Linked DNA regions of Xenopus tropicalis. The protein of the gene in region 2 binds, or shares a complex with, the protein of the main gene of each other region. Links are inferred from orthologs where the notes say so. Each region holds a gene or a part of one and is shown on either strand. Other genes may lie near its edges. The genes, in order: prkag1 and prkaa1.

The links.
Region 1: the proteins of prkaa1 (region 2) and prkag1 are in contact, whole or in part, in a crystal structure (PDB 6C9H), measured with the Homo sapiens proteins. The link is inferred for Xenopus tropicalis from reciprocal best matches to the Homo sapiens genes PRKAA1 and PRKAG1. Residues at the interface, in NP_006242.5 of Homo sapiens: Ser295, Ser296, Thr297, Met298, Ile299, Asp301, Glu302, Lys305, Arg342, Glu347, Ala348, Phe351, Tyr352, Leu353, Arg369, His371, Pro372, Glu373, Pro376, Phe377, Asn449, Val451, Thr452, Thr536, Pro537, Arg538, Gly540, Ser541, His542, Thr543; in NP_002724.1 of Homo sapiens: His36, Asp40, Leu41, Ile42, Pro43, Thr44, Ser45, Val50, Leu64, Val65, Gly68, Val69, Arg70, Trp75, Ser77, Lys78, Lys79, Gln80, Phe82, Pro158, Glu159, Ser160, Gly161, Asn162, Lys170, Arg171, Lys174, Phe175, Leu178, Phe179.

What each region holds. Positions count from the first base shown.
Region 1 is NC_030678.2:136,344,103-136,347,922, forward strand, and holds part of prkag1 (5'-AMP-activated protein kinase subunit gamma-1), read right to left. Parts: coding exon 3,780-3,820; intron 3,463-3,779; coding exon 3,408-3,462; intron 3,249-3,407; coding exon 3,122-3,248; intron 3,031-3,121; coding exon 2,865-3,030; intron 799-2,864; coding exon 761-798; intron 1-760. UniProt on the Homo sapiens protein: AMP/ATP-binding subunit of AMP-activated protein kinase (AMPK), an energy sensor protein kinase that plays a key role in regulating cellular energy metabolism.
Region 2 is NC_030677.2:195,902,814-195,907,323, reverse strand, and holds the start of prkaa1 (5'-AMP-activated protein kinase catalytic subunit alpha-1), read right to left. Parts: upstream 2,980-4,510; 5' UTR 2,956-2,979; coding exon 2,856-2,955; intron 1-2,855. UniProt on the Homo sapiens protein: Catalytic subunit of AMP-activated protein kinase (AMPK), an energy sensor protein kinase that plays a key role in regulating cellular energy metabolism.

The DNA.
Region 1 (3,820 bases), on a different chromosome or scaffold from region 2:
TAGAACTCACTACACTGTCAAATTTTTTTGGGGGTACATAGATTTTCTGTTTGTGAATATAAGAAATAATGAGAGCTAAGCAGGAAGAGGGAACAGGGCTTCACGCTGTAACAGGAAGTAGAGGAAAGGAGCTGGAGATTTCAATTTATAAGTCAGAAACCAGATCAGACGGCATGCAGGATGTTGTTGTTTAGAGTAATTTTAAAGATTTTTTTTTTTTTTTTTTTTTAAAAAAAAGGTTATTTCTATACACAAAATGTCTCAATGTGCTTCATATATTTATTATAATGGATATGTGCAGAGAGTCTCTTGTCTTTGCGCACAACCTTCCCTTTTTGCTATAATTTATACAGGAGCAGTGACCAGTGCCACATTGAAATTCCCTTTACCCCCAGCTACAGTCAGGTGATCCCAGTGATGGCCAATAAAAGGGCAACCATTTAGAAATTTTAACCTTAAAAGCAAAGCAAGTCTCTGTGAAAAACGTACAATGAAGCAGTAGAATTCTTAATGAATCAGATGAAATTGAGTGTAGGACTGGCCAGACCGGGGATGGCTTTGAATATATTACAATATATGGAAAAACAATCCCTGTTTTGTTTAAAGGGAAGGGCATGTATTAGTAGCTTAATGCAAAAAATGCCTCAATGTCCTTAATATACTGATAATTTGATATTATTTTTAGATATTTATATACACACACGCACACACTTGCTTTTCACATATTAAACACAAAAGCAATAGCTTAAGTGGTACTCACAATGACATCAAACTTGGAATATATATCAACAACTCGTCCTGTAAGGGAAGAAAAAAGTGACTAAATTCCTGGCCAATACAGTATGGCAAGAGGGCAAGTGCTTGAATATAAGAACACTACTTAAAGATATGTGTTAAAATGTGGCTATGAATAGCAGATTCCTAAAATCCAAGAGACTTTGGGGATTGTTTAGTAAAATGAGTGCTACAACATCTGACTAGTTACTATAGGTAATGGCATTGTAGTACTTTATTGGGGTTTTAGCAAATCAGCCCCTATAGTAGAGTTTGACTCATGAACATGGGTTTGGGTTTGGCGAACCCCTGAACCCACTCTGAAGGATTTGTGCGAATCCCGAACCGAATCCAATCCTCATTAGCATATGGTTATTAATGCTAATTAGCATATACTAATTTATGCTAATTAGCATTCAGATTCGGGTCGGCCGGGACCGCAGATTCGGGCAAAACCGAATCCTTAAAAAAAAAAAAAAGCCTGGATTTGGCCGAATCTCGAACCGAATGCAGAATTCGGTGCATCCCTAGAAAAATTTGACGGGGTGGCTGAAAAACAAACATAGGAAGTTGCCAGGGGACTGGAAGGGACAAGAATATATTAGATGACACTCACTTGTGTGCTATGTCTTATACAGTGTCACCTGTTAAAGGAACAGTAACACCAAAAAATTCAAGTGTATGAAAGAAATTCCAATATAATGTACTGTTGCCCTGCATTGGTTCAACTGGTGAGTTTGCCTCAGAAACACTACTATGGTTTATATAAAGAATGCAGCTGTGTAGCCATGGGGGCAGCCATTCAAAGGAGAAAAGGCACAGGCACTTAGCAGATAACAGATAAAACACTATTGTATTCTACAGAGCTCATCCGTTATCTGCTATGTAACCTGTGCCTTTTCTCCTTTTTTCCAGCTTGAATGGCTGCCCCCGGGGCTACACAGCAGCTTGTTTATATAAACTATAGTAGTGTTACTGTAGCAAACACACAACTTTTACCAGTGCAGGGCAACAGTATATTATATTTCATTTACTTTAAAACTCTTTCATTTTTTGGTGTTACTGTTCCTTTAATGAGATAGTATACCCCCCCTCATATATCTTTGCAAAAAAAATGAGAACTATAAATAGGAGATTTTTCTTATTCTTATTTTAACAAAGAAGCATTAATGAAAAATTGGTCTGTTTTTCACTGAACTCACTCCCCCCTAGAGTCATTTGTTCAAAGTAAGATAAGGAGCCCTGAATAAACAAACACCTCCCTTCCCTAAGCAGCTCATTAAAAGGCTTTTCTGTGGACTGATAATTCATTTTACCAGTTTCTGATCTGCTTGGCAAAACCAGGAAACGGTTTATTTGTTAGAGAAATTTAGAAAGTGATGTTTCTTAATTATAAAAAGGCAAACAGTATTTTTAAGTACAAGCCCTATACTGTATATATTGAGCTTTTGTTAAATAAGGACGTATACCTCCCCTAAGCAATTTAACAGAGTTACAAATTAGGAAGCAAGGAGAGTTACGGTAAGGCCCCACAAGGCAGACTGTCAGCCGGCATATAAGCACAGACTGATAATTTGCCCATACACTTAAAAACGTTTTCAAATAGTGACTGCACACGGAAAAACTGAATCTGCCCAGGTGCAGGCACACGCAGTCGATATCCGCCAATTAATGCGAGACTTGGCGTATGTAGGCAGATATTGGCTGAGTGTGCCTGCACCCAGGTGGATTCATTGCTTCTGTGTTCAGGCACAATAATAAGATTTTTCAAGCGTAAGGGCATATGTGTCAGTGTGTGCTTATATGCAAGCTGACAATCCGTGGGGCCTTATCCTTACAATGATTTAATTAAGCAGAGTATATATGACATGCTACAGCATTTTTCCAGTTTTCTAAGTGCCCTGGGAGACAGGCATTTTCCTTTACACCTTATATTGTTCAATATCAATTACTTCTTTATTGCACCTATAGAGGAAGTGGATAATGCTAAATTCAGAACATTTGCTGGAACATTGTTGTACCTCATGTTAGCTACAAAGCAACAGGAGGAAATGACAGACTGTAACTTGTCTCTGAAATCCTTCACTAACCTGAGTCATCCACAACTGGTAAAGCAGACACCCGCCGTTGCACAAAGATGCCCAAAGCAACATATACAGGAGTGTCCGGGCGAACAAGGGCAATATTTTCATAAGTGCCAATGTGCAGATCTTTTAGGGATTTAGTCACAAAAGCAGGTTTCTCAACTTCAGACATCTTCTCATTGAAAATATAAAATAAGAAATTCTGATGAAATGAGGTCTGTGTGTAGAAGCCAAAGGAATAATACAAATAGAGCAAGACTTACAAAAAGCTTAAGGAATTTCAGGATGCGTTTGTGTGTCAGGATGTACAGAGTATTCCCTGAGTCAGGAGAGATTACAGGAAGACGGTGTATACGGTTCTTTATCAGTGATGAGACAGCATCAAACAGACTAAGGACAAAAGGAAGAAAAAGATAGACTTTTCTCAGTGCATTTACAATATTCCCTGCAATAGTCTTATGGCACATGGTAATTTAATAGTTAATATGAAACATTGCAATTAGGCTCTCAGATCACGGACCATCCCAGCAACAGTGTCTTGGCTCCTACCTGGCACTGGGTGAAATGCTAACCAAAGGCTTAAAGGAATCCTGCAAGTAGAGCTCTAGGGGAAACAAAAAAAAAAATCCAGATCAGAACATTAACAAAACAAAAGCCCTTGCAGACTGATCACTTCACAATGCAAATATATGATTGAACAACTCATTTGCAAGCCTAAAATGAACAGCCACTTGCTGTTATCTAATATGTTGGCTGTTATAGTGGGTCCTCTTGGTAAATGCAGGAATAAATACAGTACCTTCTTCATGAAGCCTAGCAGTACAACATGCCAGATATGTAAAATAAGTGAAAAGTGGAGGCCTATCCTGCATTCACTAAAAATTGTATTGCTCATGTGTATGCGCCTGTATCCAGACTCACCTCTCCATGTCTCAATTTTGTGTTCCTCCAGCTCATAAATC
Region 2 (4,510 bases):
TTGGGGGGGGGGGGGCTACTAACAGTAATATGGAGCCCCATGGTTACTGATGGTAACTCTAATCAGAACTGCCAATGCAAATACATATACACGCAGCAGTAATGGATATTGGAAAGCGGCTTAGAATTACATTTTCTTGCAATGGGCAAAACGCTATTTTTTGGCTCTACTTTCCCTTTAAGGCCCATTAAAAGTGTGGGATGAAATGGACGATCCATTTATACTGACATTTCTATTTTAAGCAATAAGACTGCTGCACATATCATAGTATAATAAAAATTTATGGCATTCTCTTAGATCAAGCCCTGCCTCGGTTCAATACCTAATGGAAGAAACGTGCAAGGATTAAGCACACAGATATTTCTGATATAGTACCTTATTTCAGTGAATCATGTGACACTAACACCAATTTTATAGTGAATAATGCAGCCCCTACCATAAAATATAAGGATATTATAGTTACTGACATAGCCTCTTGCCTCTATATTATCATTAATCTCCTCAGTGACAAATACAGGGGGTGCATTATTTATAACAAAACAAGTTCCAGTAAGTCACGTGACAGAATTCACATCACTGAGCATCTATTAAAATCAATATCACTAAGCACCAATTATAAGCATATAATTTACAGAATATCCATGGCTCTTGTGTATTATGCTGAGAATATAAAGCAAAAGGCTGACTCCTGAGTGCTACCCATTTACCTCCATCTGGATTAAACTGCATTATACGTGCCAAAGGTGAATGGGTATTGATCCAGGGAGGGCTGCAGTGTTTTTATTACCAACACAAGAAGAGTCGAGCAAGACTGTAAAGGGCAAATCAGGCCAAGGAACAATAAAGCTTGAAAGAGTGGGTCATTTTATTAATTAACTTACTGCCCTTAAAGGAACAGTAACACCACAAAATGAAAGTGTTTTAAAGTAATTCAAATATAATTTACTGTGGCCCTGCACTGGTACAACTGGGGTGTTTGCTTCAGGAACACTACTATAGTTTATATAAATAAGCTGCTGTGTAGCCACGGGGGCAGCCATTCAAGCTGGGAAAAGAAGAAAAGGCACAGGTTACCTAGCAGATAACAGATAAGACACATTGTATTCTACAGAGTTTATCTGTTGTTATCTGCTATACAAGCTGTGCCTTTTCTCCTTTTGAATGGCCGCCCCCATGGCTACACACCAGGGTATTTCTATAAATTGTAGTAGTGTTTCTGAAACAAACAAACAACTTTTACCAGTGCAGGGCAACAGTACACTATAGTTTAATTTCTTTGATATATTTTCATTTTTTGGTGTTACTGTTCCTTTAAGGTGGCCATACACACTGAGATCTGCTCGCAGGGCGATATTGGGCTAATTCAGGCTTATTCAGTAGTTGGGCCCTGGGGCCAGACAATTGAATTAGGAAGATGGGTGTAAGTAAAGTGGGTTAGGGGACCGCATCAACGAGCCAATGCGGTTCCCGATCCGATGAAATTTTTTAACCTGTCCGATCGATATCTGACTGATTTCAGGCCAGATATCGGTCGGGCAGGCCCGTCGGTAGTGCCCATACATGGTCCGATAAGCTGCCGAGTTGGTCTAAGCGACCGATATCAACAGCTAGAATCGGCCTGTGTATGGCCACCTTTAGGGTGAAGACACACAGAGCTACTAGTAGCAGCTACTTGTCGTGGCTACAAAAATTGACAATGCTGATCATTTACTGATAACTGTCTCTATTGTGTTTTACAAGAGGCAATTCTCAGTATTGTCTATGGCAGGGTATTTTCTGGCGTTTAGTAGCTGCTACTAAGTAGCTCTGTGTGTCTTCACCCTTAGACATAGCCATTATACCTGGGGGATATCAGCTGTGCAAGTGCTTTCTAGTGCTGCAAGCTCAGGAGACAGCAGCTGTCCCTTCTGTGCTCACCAGTCTGCCCCGCCACCATGGAATTAACCGGATTAGAAGCAGCAAAAAAAAAAAATATATATATTTTCCTATGATTTACATGCAACTCATTATATGCACTCAGTGATGCATCTGGCACCAGTTAAAGTGATACTTTTACAGAACAGTGTTGATATCACTTTAAAAAAAAAAGCTTTACCGTGCTACAATTAACCCACTGCAGCGCCCTGTTACGCGTGTTGAACACACTGGATTACAGCTAGAAAGCTTCATAAAGTGACAACACAATTACGGAGCCACGGGCAGCACAGAAATGAAAGGGTTAAATCTGCCTGAAGGCAGGTAACAAATTGTCTTTTGTTTTTTTCCTCATCCCTTTTCCTGTGCTCTGTTTGTAACAATGTGTCGGGTAAGAGCAGGCAGCTGGGAAAACAATTTCTGGAGTCAGAACCAGCACTGCAAAGTCAGAACACTATGGTCTATAGAAATGACATTTAAAACGAACTAAGACTAATGTTTAATTAAGAAATATTAGAAAGTTGCTTGGAATTTCGTTTTCTTTTATTATGCAAAATAACAAAGTTAACCCTTTAAAGAATGGCAAAATAAGAACGGGAATAATTTGGGGGAAAAAAAACAAATTTAAAAAAATATGTTAAGGAACGTCACAAAAGCCTCCCTGCCAATGTCTAGACTGCTCCGTTACAAGTTTCCCACCCCCTGAAGTGGAAAGGGATTGGAACAGCCCAAAAGCCTACAGACGAGGCAATAAGGATAACAGGAAGGTACCACCATGCCGTGGGGGGAAAGGGAAGCAGTCCCGCCCAGTTCAAGGTATTTACCCTATGTGCCCTGCATTCAGGGCTGCTCCCCTTGCCTATCCCTCCATTTCCCAGTCATTTCCCCACACACTCAAGATCCTCTTTCCACAAGCCCCCCCTCTCTATCTCCCTCCATACCTTTCACTTTGCCAAACGTGCCCACCCCGAGCGTGTCGCCCAGTATATAGTGACCGATCTTCACCCTCCCGTCATGATGCTTCTGTTTATCCGCCGCCATCTTCATGAGCGAACTGAGCCTGCGCATCGCCGCGCGTTCCCGACAAACAAGCCAGCGCGGGCACAGAAATCGCCTCCTAGCGGGAACGGGAAAAAGGTGGCCGTATCTTAGCAACAGGGCACGGCGACGTACGAGCACGCACACGTCACTTGTCTGAGGCGGAGACGTAGTGCGTCGGGGTTATTGGTTGGTGTTGCAAGGGGGTGTGGCGAATACCGGACGCCGCTAGCGGATTGGCTAAGAACATGGCGGGCTATAGGGTGACAGCGGCCGGGTTATTGGGCTGCAATGTTAATAAAATGGCTTGGGAAAACTATACGCTTAGATCTGTGCGTGGAAAGATAGAAATATATGATGTAATGTCGCCAATGGGGTACAGTGACGTGCTTGGTGCTATATTATAGGAGTGATCAAGGTAGGGCTGCCATCATGCCAGGCAGGTGGAATTCCTATCAGGGTCATGTGGCTGGGAACGTAACTAGAACTTGGGCCAGCAGATGGGTTGGGGCGGTTCCTGGGCATAGTAGTGTAAGGGTGAAGACACTGAGCTACTAGTAGCAGCTACTAAAATAGACAATGCTGATCATTTACTGATAATTGTTGCTATGTACGTTTTAGTGGAGGCAGTTCTCAGTATTGTCTATGGCAGTGTCATTTCTGGCATTTAGTAGCCATGACAAGTAGGTGCTACTAATTAGCAACATGTGGCTTCACCCTAATGAGCATGCAGGCAATAGGTGGAGCTGGGCTGGGCACAGGACTTTTTTGTCTGTATTGGGCGTGGTCTGGGCAGAATGGGGGCGTGGTCAAATGTGCTATATAGGGCAGCATTTTTTATTTATTTGTCATTAGGGCCCTTGTTACTTAGTTGGCAGGGCATTGCTGAATGGGGCTGGATGATTTGTAATGGCGATCCTAGACTGAGGGGTTCCTAAAACCATTGAGTGGACTCCTAACCAGAGCATACCTTGATCTGGGGGTCTATAGTACTGTGTGATGGAAAAAAAAGTATTCCTACCCCGCCATCCTGAACTTCACTGGGATAGCTATAGCAATTCTGACTGCCTTGTTCCCCCAAGATGTCAACCTTCTGGTAACTGAATCCCAATATGAGGGGGGCTGTGTTATTAAAACATGCAGGGCAGCACCCACACTGACTGTTACGATCCTTTGTTTTTATTCCTTTTTGCAATTTGTGGAGTAACAGGGACTCCTAAAAAGTACAGCATGTTTTGAATTCCTGTTATTCCTCTAAAACAAATGGCATAATTGATGTTGCTAATGGGAACCTCCAAAAATTGTGCTATGTTTGCTTTGAAAGAGGGCCCCTTGTAAACTCAGTTTTGATTAAATGAAACTCCTTAGTTTAAAATCATCAAAAGGCCTAAAGAGCTCAACAAACTGATGATTTGTGATTTATGGGGTTCACTGTATTTACCAGAGTGTATGTTGCCTGTGGTTATTTGTCACAGTAAGTTATCCCCACAAAATCATATCTAGACAGGAAAGGAACTGAAAATCAAAATAGGGTAAGTAAATACATATATACATTGGT